Linked DNA regions of Tamandua tetradactyla. The main gene of each other region encodes a partner of the protein of the gene in region 2 in a complex. Links are inferred from orthologs where the notes say so. Each region holds a gene or a part of one and is shown on either strand. Other genes may lie near its edges.

Region 1 (8,495 bases), about 150 Mb from region 2:
ATAAAAATATGACTCTGAAAGTTGTGTGGAAAAGGAGAGTCCTACCTCCTTGCACTGTGTTGAAACATACAAGCTTTTCCCTTTGAATGTTTTCTGAACCCAAAACAAAAGTTTGGAATCTTGGAACTTCACCTATAACTCCTGCTCTCTGGCTCCTTTACAGACTTTTGGAGTCCTTCACAAGGTTTGATGGCCTTGCCTGCAATCTGGAGAAACTCCTCAGAACCTGTTTCAAGCACCCTACCTGTCTCAGAGGACACCCAATCCCTACCCCAGCCCATGAGTGAGGTGGATGAGCCTCCAGGGATAGAAGGCGGCAGGCAGGCACCTCCCTACTCTGTTACCCAGGTACAGAGGAGAATGGAGGAAACTTAGGGGTGTCCATGGCATCACTGAAAGTCAACCAGTTCACACTGACCTGCCTCCACCTGCCTCCCCTTCTCAGAGAGGCAAGTATCTGCCATGGTCAGTGTCATCAAGGCCTTTAAAACCCTGGGAACAGAGAGCTAGCTGCCTTTCTTTGCTACCCATTTCCTACATTTGTAGTTTGTTCTTGATTTCCTAGGGAATGGGACAAATGGAGAAAGACAAACCCAGCATGGGCAACATCTAAGCCGTGTCCAAGGTTAGCCAAAGTAAAGTGAGCACTGGCCTCCCAGCTGGGCAGGCAGTTGAACATGGTTCCAAGACTTTAGCTCTGGACCCTGGTCTATATATTTTTGTTGTTGTTGTTGTTTAAAGTTTTATAATTGTTTTAAGAAATCCAGTCTTTTCAGACTTGCCCTTTTATTACACTTTGAATTTTCTTTATTGATTTTTTTAAAAGGAAAAATACAAAAAAAAAAAACACTACTCTTACTCCCCCCCACAAGATTCTCCCCACAAGAGTCTCCCCGCACTCCCTTCTGCCTTTGCAGTTTATCGTTCCTCCCTTTTTTTCTCTGCTTGAAGCATCTATGTCCAGTGTGTGATATGATGTTTTATCTGTGTCTCAGGATGAGAAACGGCAATCATTCCACCAGATGCTAGAAACTGGTTAGCCTTGAAGCAAGGGTTTCTAGGGCCACAGCTCAGGGATGTGTATTTAATTACAGGGTCCCCAGAAATCCCCTCTCGGCTGCCACAGGCAACAGCTTCTTTTCTGGGCTTGGGAGCCAGACCTGGTTTTCTTCAGAGGCAGGAGCCCCCTCCTCTGGCCAGAGAGCCTGCTGGGACTTCCTGTCTGGCCAGACCTGGGGACTTGGAGACTTTAAGACTTCTAGCTATCCCACAACAAGAGCCATGGTAGCCCTGCCTCTACCAGCTCATAAGAAGCCTGGTTCCTCTAATCAGTCCACTTTCCACCTGGCCTCCCTTTTCAAGCCTGCAGCCTAAATGGGCCATGGCCTGCTCAGGAACCCACCGTGGGCCTAAAAGGGAAGCTGTGACTCAGGCCAGAGCCTGCTGCAAGCCCAAGAAAAAAGTTGAATTAATGGTGGAGGCTAGTCTTCCAAATCCTGGAGCCAGTCCTACCAACCAAAGGATCATCTTTGTCTTTTGGTGACTATTGTTTTCTTACTCTGAAATGTCTTGTATTAGGTGATAATGTTGAACTCAAATTTCCATGAAAAAAAACTACCTCTTGAGTAACATCCTGGTCGATTCTTCTCTGAAGAATTCTGTGGGAAAAGAACACTGTAACTCCTGTTCTGTTTACATGTTTCTGTCGGGAAAGAAAGCCTGCCTGCCCTGGGGTGCTGGTGTTTTTGTCTGTGTTGCCATCCCAGGTCTGCGATAGGGCCTTGTGGCTGCATTGTAATGTCTGGGCCATGTCTGGGGAGTCCTTCCCACCTGCCAACCAGGGACTAGCCACTCCCTTGAAAAGGCCTCCATTTTCTTCCTGTGTTCCATGGCATAGGGAACACCACCTCCCACAAACTCCATCCTTGGGGGATCTGGTGGCACATGCATCCACGAGCCTGCCCCTGGGCTTCTCCAGGCTTGCCTCTACCCACAGTCCTGTGTAGGAATCGAGTAAATGGGATGTCTCTGAGCCCTTGTCCCCAAAGGGCTGGCCAAGGGCTGCCCCAGCCTGGCTCCATCAACCATGCATAACTAAATGATAGTTGGTGGGCTCTGTGGGCTACCCAGGCCCTCTGCTACCTCCCACCCTGCCAGCTGGCAAGGGATGGGCCCTGTTCTGTGAATTGACTACCTGTGGAAATGTGACCAATTAGTATAAATGCATGTTTAGAAGTGTTAGGTACTGTATTTGAACCAATAAATGTGAATCCTTCTACACATGGCATCTGTCTTATCTAAGGTTCTGGGGAGGGATGATGGGGTATCCCAAGCAATTAGCTCATACCTTCAGACCTACGGCTCCTCTTAGAGATGAAACCTACCACAATCCTTATTGCTGAGGGTTTGGCAGAAGGGATGCCTCTCTAAGAACTTCTTAAATCAATGAACTAGCACTGACTGTGTACCAGGCCCAGTGCTAGAATTTTTCACAGATCTGAACCTCTTTGAATCTCTAGAATTACTAACTATTCTATAAGTGAAGAAATGAGGTCAAGAGGTGGAGGGACTCTCCCATGGTAACCCAGCCAGAAAGTGGCACAGCTAGAGGAACTGAGTCTACTGGGAGAGGCAAACCCAGACCTATGCAGTACAGTGGAATCGGGGTTGCAGTTAGGGATGTATGTGGGTTGTAGGACCTGGAGGAGAGAGTGCATTGTTCTACTCAGGATAGTCAAGAAGGGTTTCACAGATGAATATTATTGAAGGTGAGCCTAGAAGAAAGTAACCAGACAAAAAGGGAAAGGTAAGGCAGGTAAAGGAACCAACAATATATGCAAAGGTCCAGTTGTAAGTAAAAAATATATGGAGTATTCAGGGTAGTTCAGTGGTAGAATGCTCGCCTTCCATGCGGGAGACCCTGGTTCAATTCCCTGGCCATGCACCCCCAGCCCCCAAGAATATATACATATATGGAGCAATCAGATATAGCAAGGGACTGCAGCAGCAAGAGTGGTAACAGAATGTGGGGATTAGTGCGTATCAAGCAAATTGAAGCTTCAAATGCCACATTCAGGGGTTTAGGGAAAAAACCATCTGCTAAGTCTCAGGAAAGAGCTGCACACATCAGTGACAGCAGTCCAGCAGATTAATAGTTATCTTTCTACAAAAAGGATGGCGTTTATTAATACTTTTTCTATGGCTGAAATCATAAAGGCTCTGAGAGGTTAAGGGACTTGCCCAAAGTCACACAGAAAGTGGCACAGTTAGGACTTGAACCCAGATCTTCCCAACATTCCTGTAACCCTGCTGCTCATGTGATCAGACAAGGGGCAGACTAGGGATGAGAATTGTGTGAAGACAGATGGGAAAGATGAAGGCTTCTCAGTCTGGGAAGATAAGTATGAAGAGAGTATGATCAAAGTGTATTAAACCATGTGGAATGAGGGGAAGCCCAGCTGCCTTCCCAAACCTCAGCCTCTAGCACAAAGGAGTCAGAGAGCCCTTGAGGTTTGAAAGCGATAGTTTTAAGACAAAGAAAACACTGCAGAATTATTAATAGACTCTTCCTTGCCCCACAAAAAGTAAACATAAGACACAGAGGTACAAGGAGAGGGGGGAACACATTTGCTGAGTGCCTATAAAGTACCAGGCACCATGGTTAGTGCTTTATGTGCATTATCTCATGTAATCCTCATAACCTTGCAAGGGTTAGGTCTTAGCCCCATTTTATTCATAAACAAATTGAGGCTTGAGGAAGTTAAGCCATTTGCCAAAAATGACACATGACTAAATGGCAGAATTGACTTTTGAATCCAGGTCTATCTGATAGCAAAGTTACAACAAGGCAGCCTCCCTGCTCAGCCTTAGCAATTCAGTAGTGCTGAATATGGACGTCTGGAGTTTGTAACAAAGCTCAGTAATGGCCTTTGGTTGAACTTTTTGCTATTAAGCAAAACTCTATTAAACTAACGAAAGATTAATTTCTGTAAGGGGTAGATGCACAGACCCAACCAAATTGAGCTGAAAAGCAGTGCTGTCCCAAATATATGACTTCTCAGAACATACACCAAAAGGTGGCTCCATGGAAAAATAAGTAGGAGTTCTATTGGCAAAATTTGGGGAAATACTTCACTTGCTCTTCTTTTTTTTGACCATTTTTTAAACTTTTTATTGAAGTATAATACCCACAAGGAAAAGTAAACAAACCATGAGTGTTCAGCTCAACTTTATCTTCTGCTCATTGACTCTCAACTTTCATTGGTACATAGTAAGGGCTCTGAGAGGTCCTAACTGAAAAAAACTGATTTTGTTTAACCCAAGGTCTACCAAAAACATTTTTTGAGCATGAAACATTTTTCCCCTAGCATAGCTGTGAAAATTCTATTGGGACAATATTCCATGGAATCTTAATGTATAAATTTCTACTTAACTAACACTGAGTTTTTGGTTCCCTCAAGTGCCAGGCAATAATCTAGAAGAAATGAATAATAAAGTAATTAATACAGAGTGAGCTAAGCAAAGCAATGGGCTGAGCATTTCAAGTGCATTAGATTACTGATTTTTTAAGGTAAGCCAATGAAGTTGGTGCTATAATGATCCCATTTTGCAGATGAGAAAACTGAGGCGCACAAAGGTTAAGCAACTTGCCTAAGGCTACATAGCTAGTGTGACCTCAGGAATGAGTATAAATTGGCACTGATCACCTACTATTTGGCAGGATATGTGCAAAGATCTTTATCCTTGTGCAATCCCTGTGAGGCAAATTAAGATCATCTCTGTAAATGAAGAAGCAGCAGGGTGTGCTGGCAGCTCTGGGTTATGCCAGAGATTGAACAAAAAAAAAAAAAAGAAAACCAGAAGTGATGGCAGGGGAGAGTGTTGGAATGAGGTTGGGGGTTGGGTGTGGTTCTATGGAGCCCTCTCCCAGGGATCACTTCCCTCGGACAACTCATGTGACAGCAGGCACATCTATCAGGGGTCTTACCACCTGAGTTCTAATCCCAGCTTTTCCCCCATACTAGTTACACATGACCTGGATCCAGTGGATACTTCTCTGAGCCACTTTCCCTATTAGATAAATAGAGAGGCCAGTACCTATGTCTCAGGGGTTTAAGGAGGATTGGCCATGGCTGGCTCAAAGTAGGAGCTTAATGAAGTCAATTCATAAGAGGAAGCTGTGTGAGGGGAGCTGCAGCCCCTCACCCCAAAAGCAGAAATCCAGCAGAGTTTGACCTGCCGTTAGCCTGGTTGCCTATTAGGGTTCTAGGTCCACAGTGTTGGTAATCAGCCTCTCTGGGCTGTGGCTAAAGTGCCCAACTGCCAGACCCAGGGCTCTTGGAGTTTTGTTCCCTTGGCAACAAGTCTCACCATGGAGACCAAAGTCCCATCCTTGCCCTCCCTGGAAACTCCCTCTCCACAGACCTCCCCTGCTCAACACCTAGTCCTAGGAACAGTGTAGGTACTGAGGAAAGCTACAAGGACCCTTCCTCAGGGTGAGGAGTTTGAGGTACAATCTAGCAAAAGAGGCAAAGGGAACTCCCAATTTCTGAATGTCTACTTTATGCCTGGCAAGGGTCTGAGGAGCCTATATAGGTGGTCTTATTTAGGTTGGAAGCCAAGCCCTCATCCTATCTTACATAAATGGAAACTGAGGCTCAGGAAGGCAGCATGGACCATCTCAGTTACACAGCTGATCATTATTGGAGCTGAGATTTTAATCTAAGGCTTCTAACTCCATGAACTGCTTTCCCTACAATGCCCCCTCTCCCACCCGTACTGCCAACACACAGCCTTCAGCCTCAATCTGGGGAAGAACTGCATAGTTGGGTGCGTCCCCCTCCATCCCAGGCCACGGTTGGCAGTATAAGCAGCAGCCAGCAGCCAGCAGCCCTTTGAGAGCTGGGCCGGGCCCAGCAGCAACAGCGGAGGAACTGCACTATTTTAAGCCAGGGCCAGAGGGCCCCATGTGGGTACAGGGAGGGTGGCCTCGGGCCCTTGGCTAGCTTCCCGGAAGTCACTGTGGCCTCCCTCCTCTCCCCTGAGCAGCTTTCTGAGGCAGTCACTTCCCTACAAACAGGAAGGAGGCCCTCAGGCCTGGAGACCTCCAGTTCCAGCTTCTTCCTCCTACCCCTCAGTCTTCTCCTCAATACCAGGGAGCCCACCAGCTCCAGGCTCTGATCAATGTCCGGTATCTGGACTGACTCTTAGCAGGTGGGTGGGAAGGGGGCCTGCACTGCTAGGGCTGCCTAGGGCACCAATTACAAGTTAAGACCTCCATTTGCCCAGGCCCTCCCCCATGCCCACCCCAAGACTGATTTCTCATATGTTCCCACTGAGGCTAGCTACTATGAGCCAAAAAGAAGAGCAGTGATACCCCCGGATTTAATCCCCCTTAAGGGCCCCAGAGAGAGACAGAGCAAAGAGAGACAGACTGGGAGACTGAAACAAGCTGAAAGAAATAGACATTCCAAAAGATAGATTGGGGCAAAACAATGACAGACATAGATTCATGGGGTCAGATAAAACTGGAGAGATGCTCAGAGATAAAAAGGAAAGAAAGACAAGACCCCAGAGATGGCTGCAGAGGGCTGGGACCTGGGGTGGGGGGTGGGGCTCTGAATGACGGCTCCTGCACACCCCCCAAGCACAGGCTCTGTCTCATGTCTGTGGGGGGCCCACCGGCTGCGTGGTTGAAGAGGAATGTGGGGAGCAAGGCTGGGTCACCCCTTGAGGGCCAAGCGTGTGCACGGTGAGATAAGCTACCCTAGGAAGGGAGCCCCAGCTGTGGCTGCACACTCCGGGAGCATGGCGGAGAGTCCCAATCCCAAGGCTGCAGCCCCAGCACTGCCTGACATGCAGCTCCTGCAGTTCTTGCTGAGGATCTCCACCAGGCCTCTTATTCCAGGGGGTCCCGGGTCCCTTGGCCCAGCCCTCAGAAGCATGCAGATTGTGAGAGTATCATGTTCACAGAGGAGGAGGGTGGCCACTGGAAACCCTGCCAGCTGCAAAGAGCTCTAACTGCAACCCTGGTTCAGGTGAGAGGGCCATAGAGCTGATCATGCAGAACAGAGGCTCCAGCAGGCTGTGGGGTGCAGAGGGGGTGCAGTGATGGAGCACTATCTGTGAGTTGTCCCCGCCTGGCTTTGTGCACTCATATGCACTCGTGTGTGTCTTGGGCATGTGTCCATGTGCTTCCTCTCATGTGGGGCTGTACAAAGATGTATGTGTCCATTTGTTGCCAGGAGTTCCACTCTGCCTCCCCCAAGTCTCTACTCTCTGTCTGGAGAAGTGGCTCCCAGAGGCACCTGGTCTTCCCCACCCCCACCAGGTGGTCCAGCCAGAGAGCCAAAAGGTGGAGGGGGAAGACTGAGCAGGTCCATTGCAGGCCCCTGGCCCCCCTCCCCACACTGCAGCTGAGGCTCCCGCGGCCACGGCCTTGACCCGGCACTATGGACTTCTCTGACATTGGCATCGGATCTGAACATCTGGCAGCAGGCTGATAAGGGGTACAGCGGAAACAGCCTCTGCTGCTGCCAGCAGGCCCACCCCCTCCTCTGCCCGGCACAGGGTCTCCACACTCCCTCTGCTTCCAGCTCTCTGGACCCCTACCCCTTTCTCTTTTTTCATTTTCTGCCTCAGTGTCTCTCTCTCTCTCGCTCTCTCTCTCTCCTTCTCTTTCCCAGGCTCTGAACATCTCTGGGTCTCTTTTGCTGTCAGTGCAGTTTCCTTTTCTCATTTTCTGGCTTCTTTCTTTTTCAGTCTATCTCCTTTCTACACTGTACCTCAACCCATTTCTCCCCTCTCTTTCAGTTTCTTGGTCTCAGGTTTGTTTGTTCCTTGTTCTACCTCCAGGAAATAGGCCTGGCACGTTGGGAAAGTCCCCACTTAGGAAAGAGACCCTGGGCTTTGTTTTCCTGGGGAGGGAGGCAGGCGGGAAGCCTCGGTCAGGACTACATCCCTTTTCCTCCTCCTCCCGGGGGTCTTGTGGCCCGGGACCACCTGGGCTGGAGCTTGAAAGAGAGGGCAAATAGGCCACCCAGGGGCTCTTAGAGAGCCAGGAGCACTCAGAGTCTGCAAGTCTAGGCTCTGGACTCCACTGTGTGGATTTGAATCCTGTTCCCACCACTCCCCTGCTTTGTGACTCTGGGTCGCAGCCTCATCTCTCTGGGGCCAAGTTGCCTCATCTCTCAAATGTTACTTTGGGAGGTGAAGGGAAAACTACTTACCTCCTAGGATGATGGAGAGGGCTCAAGATTGACCACAGGTGTAGAGTGGTTAGTAGCAGCCCTGGCCCATAGGAGGCAATTTTGTATTAGGGCCTTGCCATTCCCTGCATCTGGCAACCCCTGGCTCCTCTTGTTCCCACAGAACAGCCAGTATGGATGAGGGCAGGGGAGGGGCAGCACAGAACAAGAGGAGGTTCACCCAACTTATCCAGTGTTGATTGGAAATTTGGGGAGTGGGTGAGGAGTGCCTAGCCTGAGTGGTGGGGG
Region 2 (7,485 bases):
GGTGATATTCAATCTGATTAACAAACAGTGAGCCACAGGCATCACCCAACCAGAGAAGACACAAGCTGTGGCACTGAATGGAGCAGTCCTGGAGGCCATGGTCATGTCAAGTTTTTACCTCTAGCTGGATGATGGGAATGTCTGGGAAGAGGATCCTGGGACAGAGGCTGGGGCAGAAGGGCAGTAGAAGGGGACCCAGGGAGGGAGCTGTTAACTGCCTGTCATGGAGGCATCTCAGATTCTTAACTTGTGTAGCTGTAACACTGTGGGCCAGCTAAACTTCATGGAGGCATCTCAGATTCTTAACAACTTGTGCAGCTGTAACACTGTGGGCCAGCTAAACTTCATGGAGGCATCTCAGATTCTTAACAACTTGTGTAGCTGTAACACTGTGGGCCAGCTAAACTTCAGCCTGCCTTGGCCTCTAAGCAGCTTCTAGGCAGCCCAGGGAGACTTTCCCCCCACACACACTCCCCACAACTAGGAGAAAAATGGCACATTCTTCTATGGACTACGGGGAATGGGGGTCGGGTAGGGGAATGAATTGTCCCAAACTTGCAGAAATTCCAGTGAGCGTCTCTGTTTCAATTTGGGAATGGGCTGCTTCATTTTCCTGACTGACCATGATCAGACTCACTGAGGTGAATGGAAGCCTGTAGGGGATGGGACCAGGGAAGAGTCGGTAGGGGTTGGAGATAAGGGAGAATCCTCCCCCCGCCCCACTCCCCCACCAAGGATAAAGGCAGATATGTAAGGGGCTTGGGAACTGATGCTATCCCTTGGGTTCACAAGCAGAGGCAAAATGCATCTCATCCTCAGAAATGAAATCATCATCTCACTCTGAGAAATTAATACCCTGATTCCCTGAGACCCAGCTCCTACACCCATTATGGGTTCTTTCCCTTGGGCTCCTACTCATAGGGGCAGGAAGGGCCCTGGAGGTGAGGTGGTTCTTTACCTATGTACAAACCACAATGTCTGGCTCCAAAGTGTCACACCTTTTATTACAAAAAGTAATAATTTAAGTCAGTTCTGTACAAAGTAAGTAGGACTTCTGGCCTATGAGCAACCTAAGCCCTCCATATCCCAGGAGGAGACAGGAGTCTTGGTCCAGAGACTCTGGGGATCACCAAGAGCTGGCCAGTTGGCTGAAGCACTGTGTCCAAATGAGGGAAGTCCAAGATAGGGCCTGGCTGGAGTGAGGGGCTCCACAGGCCATCTGGCTGAGCCAGGCTCAGCTTGATCCTAGAGGGCTGAGTGCTGGCTATACAGGCTTAGTCCTTCCAGGAGCATCAGGTCACTCCTGGGGACAGGCAGGCCAAGCCAGATTGAATTAACATTGCCAACCTCTGCACAATCTACACTGGATCTCTGCTAGGGCCGGGGCAGATCACCTCAGCAAAAGCACATCCTCGAGGAGGCTGGTGATGTCAGTGTCTCCAATCACCGGGCGAAAGAAGAGGTCTCTGAGCAGGCTGGGTGGAAATGACTTGAGGATAGAGGCCATGAGGAGGACACGGGCCAAGCGGATTTGGCCTATTGGGCACTGGGGCTCCAGGACCTCACATAGTGCCTGATGAGCCTCCTGCTGCAGGTACCCAATGTGGGAGGAGGCGTGGAGGCCAGGCACATCTGTAGGCAGAGAGGGTGAGAAGGCTGGTTAGCACCCCACTCCTAGCCACCAAGGGACGAGACCTGAGGCTGCCAGCAGGCACTGCCCTGCTTCTTTGCTCAGCTTTTAAGGCCCCATTCCTACTTCATTCATTTATTCATTTATCTTTTTATTCATCATCCATTTATGGAGAGGCAGCATAGAGTAATGGTTAAGAGCCGGACTACCTGGGTTTCAATCCCAGTGCCATCCCTTATTTAGTGCACGACTGTGGACAAGTTACTTAATCTCTGTGCCTCAGTTTCCTCATCTATAAAATGGGGCTAATAATAATACCTACTCTTAAGCTTGTTATGATGTTTAAATGATATTTAGTATATGTAAAACCCTTAGAAATAAGGTCTAGCATACAGTAAGTATAATATGTGTTCACTATTATAATTATTTCAGTTATAATAATAAGTATTATTATAATCAATTGCTATAATTTAAGCATTCCACAGGGGCCATTTGGTGGAATAGTCTTATCTTAGATGCTCTCCAGATTATAGAGAACATGGTCTCCATCTGCTGCTCTCCTAGGTGCATTTCACTAAGACTCCCTCCCTTTTCTCTTTTACACCCCCTTCGTTCTTCCTGTCTGTGTGGTCTTTCCAGACCTATGGAGTTCTACCTTCAGAACCTCACCACACAGTCTTCCCCTTTCTCTTCTCATCTTCCCCTCCCACTTCTCTCTGAGTTTTTTCTGTGTGATGAATATTTAACGATAATGGGGAACCAAAGAGGTGATGGATGTCAAGCCCTTCAAAGGTACCCTCCCTGGATGAGTCCTCCCTCCACTTTGGCCCCCATCCCGGAGTGTCTGGGAGCTCACCAGGGTTGAAGAGGACTGTCCCTTTCAGGTAGGCATACTCCTTGGGGCCCAGCTCCAGGCTCCAAAAGGACTCTAAGCAGTACTGAAGCCACTGCACTGCAGCCAGGGAGGGCTGGGGCCTGTCGGGCAGCTGAACACTGCCACGACTGCTGCCAGGCTCCTCCAGCAGGATCTTCTTGAGTATGCTGGGCATTGGGGCCTCGGCCACCTGGAAGGTCACAGTGTCTTGGGCCAACCCAAGCAAGAAGAGGGGGCCCCAGGAGCCCCGCAGCAGGCGCTGCTGATCCTGGACGGGCAGCTGGTAGAAGGATGGCAGGTTCTTGAGGAAGGCCACTGTCTTGGCCAGAACGTCCAAGGCCTCCTGGCAGGTGCGATGGGGAGCACACAGGCGGACGGGTCGGTGCTGCCTGCACAGGCAGTGGCTACGGGATGCTGGGACTGAGGGCCTGGCCCCAGGGCTTGGGCTCAGAAGTGCATACAGGATGGCTGGGCGGCCTGCAGCACCTCGACATGGGCAAGCCCCTGGCTGGCTGGAATTCATGTTTCAGAATCTGCTCCTTCTTTCTCCTGGCTCTTTTGCCCTCTGCTCTGTACTGTGGGTGCTATTTATATCCCTCAGGGTGGGGGGTGGGAAGGAACGGCCCCAATAGCCTTGACTCCAGAAGTCATGTTCATTGAGAAAAAAAAAACATACTGACCCTGGCAGGACTGGCGGGGAATGGTGGGGGAGGAGGGCAGTAGAAGCTCCACGTGGCGCTGATATGGCTTCAGTCAATGTAGGGGCCACTGCAGGGCACAGGCTGCCTGCCCGCTGGCCCGTTGCCCCTTATCGGATGACTCAAGAGAATATAAAGGGTCATTAACCCAGGCTGTACCAGGACACCAAGGTCTCAGGTGCACAATCAGCAGGTGGCCATGACAGGTATCCCAACTGGTGCCTGCTCTTTTAGGCACAGAAAACCAGGGCTTTTGCTAAACTGAGAAGCCAGCCCCAAAAGTGGAGAAGCCTGTTGTATACTCAAAAAACAAACAAAAAAAAACCCAGCACTCTTCCTAAGCCGGGAAGCCAGTCCCAGCAGAGCTGGAGAAGCCTTGAATGCAAGGCCCAACCAGGAAGTGCCTTATCACTGGTTTGTTTGCCTAGCCTTGGGAACGTGTTCCTGCTGTCAGGAGGAGAGCCAGGAAGAGAGCCAGGACCCTGGGGGCTGGGAAGATTATGCCCACTATGCAATCAAGGGGTCCCCTTTCTCTGACTCCAGTTCTGGGTGCCCTGCAGAAATGAGGTCCTTCAGAACACTTTCTCCCCAGCCTAGATTCCTATAACTCCTAAAAGGACATGTCTGCCACGAAGTCCTCATGGATCGATAATGAAATATGGCTGCTCTTTATCAAGGATCTGCTACGTGCCAGGCACTTCCCATGTAAATATTCACAGCTTCCCTATGAGGCAAAGGTCTTACTTTGTGAGACTCAAATTGGTGAAGCAACTTGCCCAAGGTCATGCAACTGGGAAGGGTCAGAGCCTGGATCTACCTGATTCCGAAGTCCTTGCTGTCCCTCTGTACTCGCTGACCCAACATGCAGCCAGAGCTATGCTACCTGACTTTCTCAGAGCTGGTGGCTACCTGGGCCCCCACCTAGCTGCTTCCTGGTCTATAGGTGATGCCCACTTGTGATCTGGAGGGAAATATTGCTCTGCCCATCCCCTGGGTCCTCTGTCCTCAGATGGTAAGACATATGGTATGAGAAGGAGCATGAGTCTCCTTGACTGTGTCACATCCCTGGACTTTGGCATGTCCAGCCTGGCAAACTTCTGCTACCACAGTGCCAGGCAGTGTGGTGCCCTGGACAGAGAGTGATAGGCTCTGGCATCATCCAGCCCTGGCATCTGCTCCTGGGTCCATCACATACTAGCTATGTCCTTGAACTGATCCTCAGACCTCTGTGGACCTCAGGAGTTTCTTTGGGGACAATAATATCTGTCTGCAGAGCTGTTGTGAGGACCAAGTGAGGTTCTAGATGTCAAGTTCTAAGCAGTTTGGGCATTCATTTGGGGACTTTGCTCTTTTCCTCTCCCTAAGGAACTAAGCACCAGCACACAAACAGGCAAATATCTTTCATTTGCTTGTGAATAATCTTAATTCCTTTCATTTGTTAAGTTCTTTCTATGTCCTCCTACCTCACTGGATCCTCACACCATCCCACTGACGGAGACTCTAGAGTCAGACTGCCTGGGTTCAAATCCTGGCTTCATCACTTCCTAATGAGTGACCTTGGGCAAGCCACTTCACTTCTCTCCTTGTCCTCAGTTTCCTCATTTGTTGGGGGTAGGGGAGCATGGGCCTGGAATCGAAGCTGGGTCCCCCACATGGTAGGGAAGCATTCTACCATTTAACCACCTGTGCATCACTATTTTCTCATTTTTAAAGTGTGGCAGAACATTCAAGAGAGGATATTGGTTTTGTGGGGCTAGAAACTTACACAGTTTGGAGGGCCTTCTGTAAGAAAAGAATTGAAAATCAGGTGTGAAGGTGAATATTAACAAAGAGAAGATAAATCACTACAAATTAAACTGACAGAAGGCACAAACATCCCTAAACTAGGAGAACAATAAAATATTTTTATTCATCAATTGCCTGATCAATTTGCCTACACTTTGTAGCTGCATAATCTTTGCTTAGCTCTTCATATGTCAATGATATTTTAATTTTAATTTTGGAGCATTCACAAACTTTCAGAAAAGTCCTAAGTACAGTAGAAGGAAGCTTTTTTATTTCCTTCACCGTTTGAGAATACTTTGCTATTTTTTTTTTTTTTGCCCTATAACCCCTGAATACTTTAGTGTATAATTCCTACAAACAAGGACATTCTCCTACATAACCCCATATGTTTTAGTCTGCCAAAGCTGCCAGAATGCAATACATCAGAGATGGATTGGCTTTTAATAAAAGAGGATTTATCTAGTTAAAAATGTATAGTTCTTCAGAGGAAAGGAGCTAACTTTCAACTGAGGTTCTTTCTTATGTGAAAAGGCACAGGGTGATCTCTGCTGGCCTTCGCTCCAGGCCTCTGGGTCCCAGCAACTTTCCCCGGGGTGATTTCTTTCTGCATTTCCAAAGGACAGGACTGAGCTGTGAGTGCTGAGATGAAGCATGCTGAGCTGCTTGGCTGTACTACACTGAGCTCTCACATTTAAGCATCCAGACAATTAAATCAAACATCATTCATTGCAGCAGACATGCCTCCTAGCTGACTGCATATGTAATCAGCAATAGATGAGCTTCATATGCCATTGGCTCATGTCCACAGCAACAGAACTAGGCACCTACACCTGGCCAAGTTTACACTTGAACCTAACTACCACATGTCTACCCCTTGTCAACTTGGCAACTATACATATCACTTTAAACGATATTAAAGTGGCAAAAAATCTCTTCTGGCTGTGGACCTATGAATCTCAAAACAAGTTATCTGATGCCAATATGCAAAGGAAGGACAGTCACAGGATACATGTTTTCATTTCTATAAGGAAAAATTGGAGGGAACACAGGAGTCACAAGACTCAAACAGTTCTGAAAACTTGCAGGGCAAATTCCATTGGATTTCAAAGTCTGAAAGTCATATATCCTTTGGCTTTACAAAGTGGCAATCCCACCCTTTCCAAGGGCCTATGTGGTGGCCCACCTCTTTCTGAATCAACCTCAGGGGACATTGAGGAGACCACCTTTTTCTTGGCTCCAAGCATCGGGGCCACACCTGGGCTCTGCCATTTCTGGGGCACACGCTCAACCCCTCCATTTGATGGTAGCCAGGCTCTCCCCAATTCCCAAGGAGTACCTTCTCCAAAGCCTGAGGTGACACAACTCTTCCACTGCAATGAGGTGGGAGACTCATCCTCTGCCTTCAGGGAAAATTCACTCTCTCCATGTATATAGGTGGGTTCACTCTCCTGGCCTGAGATTTCTTGGCTTCAGACCTAAGCTTCCATGGTTCTCACTCTGCAAACTCCAATTTGTTCTTTTTGTGTCCCACTTTGTTCAGATTGGCAGTGGTTCCACTTACACCAACAGTCTCTTCAAGCACTCCAGGACTTCTCCATCATTCTCTTCACAGTTCCTCCCAAATCTTCCCCTTATCCATCCAAAAAACTGTTCCAGCATGTCTGGTATTTGCAAACTGCAGCAGCACCCCACTCCTGGTATCAAATCTGTTTTAGTCTGCCAAAGCTACCAGAATGCAGCACACCAGAGATGGATTGGCTTTTAATAAAAGAGGATTTACTTAGTTAAAAACATATAGTTCTTCAGAGGAAAGGCAGATAACTTTCAACTGAGGTTCTTTCTTTGCGAGAAGGTACAGGGCGATCTCTGCTGGCCTTCTCTCCAGGCCTCTGGGTCCCAACAACTTTCCCCGGGGTGATTCCTTTCTGCATCTCCAAAGGCCTGGACTGAGCTGAGAAGTGCTGAGATGAAGTATTCTGAGCTACTTGGGCAGAGAGCTGCATTGAGCTCTCACATTTAAGCTTCCAGCCAATTAATTCAAACATCATACATTGCAGCAGGCACACCTCCTAGCCAACTGCAGATGTAATCTGCAATAGATGAGCTTCATATACCATTGGCTCATGTTCACAGCAACAGAACTAGGGACCTTCAGAGCTTCTTGGAGTACTGATTGATTCCAAGGCTGGGGCTGGAGAAGTAAATACTTTTTACACCAGAAAACAAAGAGGTGTTCAAAGAATGATGGGGACATGGCAAAAGGACATAGACTCCAACTGGAAGGAATTCCCATTGGCCTAATCTGGGACAATCTGAGCATCAAAATAAATAATGATAGTTGCAGATTGTAACCCACTGAGTAAAATAGGAGGCCATCAGTACACACCAAAATAAAGAAATAAATACATAGTTTTCAATTTGCTAAAATGCTGCCAGAATGCATTATACCAAAAATGGATTGGCTTTTGCAAAAGGGATTTATAAAGTTACAAGTTATA

What was found. The genes of interacting proteins can lie anywhere in the genome.
Region 1: the proteins of NR0B2 (region 2) and NR5A1 are in contact, whole or in part, in a crystal structure (PDB 1YMT), measured with the Mus musculus proteins. The link is inferred for Tamandua tetradactyla from reciprocal best matches to the Homo sapiens genes NR0B2 and NR5A1. Residues at the interface, in NP_035980.1 of Mus musculus: Thr19, Ile20, Leu21, Tyr22, Leu24, Leu25, Ser26; in NP_001303616.1 of Mus musculus: Ile275, Val278, Arg282, Phe287, Val292, Gln295, Met296, Leu299, Gln300, Asn450, Leu452, Glu455, Met456.

What each region holds. Positions count from the first base shown.
Region 1 is NC_135328.1:46,602,703-46,611,197, reverse strand, and holds the start of NR5A1 (steroidogenic factor 1), read left to right. Parts: upstream 1-5,334; 5' UTR 5,335-5,457; exon of another isoform or gene 5,458-5,509; intron 5,510-6,907; exon of another isoform or gene 6,908-7,037; intron 7,038-8,495. UniProt on the Homo sapiens protein: Transcriptional activator. Essential for sexual differentiation and formation of the primary steroidogenic tissues. Binds to the Ad4 site found in the promoter region of steroidogenic P450 genes such as CYP11A, CYP11B and CYP21B.
Region 2 is NC_135328.1:199,327,132-199,334,616, reverse strand, and holds NR0B2 (nuclear receptor subfamily 0 group B member 2), read right to left. Parts: upstream 3,057-7,485; 5' UTR 3,028-3,056; coding exon 2,487-3,027; intron 1,633-2,486; coding exon 1,391-1,632; 3' UTR 880-1,390; downstream 1-879. UniProt on the Homo sapiens protein: Transcriptional regulator that acts as a negative regulator of receptor-dependent signaling pathways. Specifically inhibits transactivation of the nuclear receptor with which it interacts.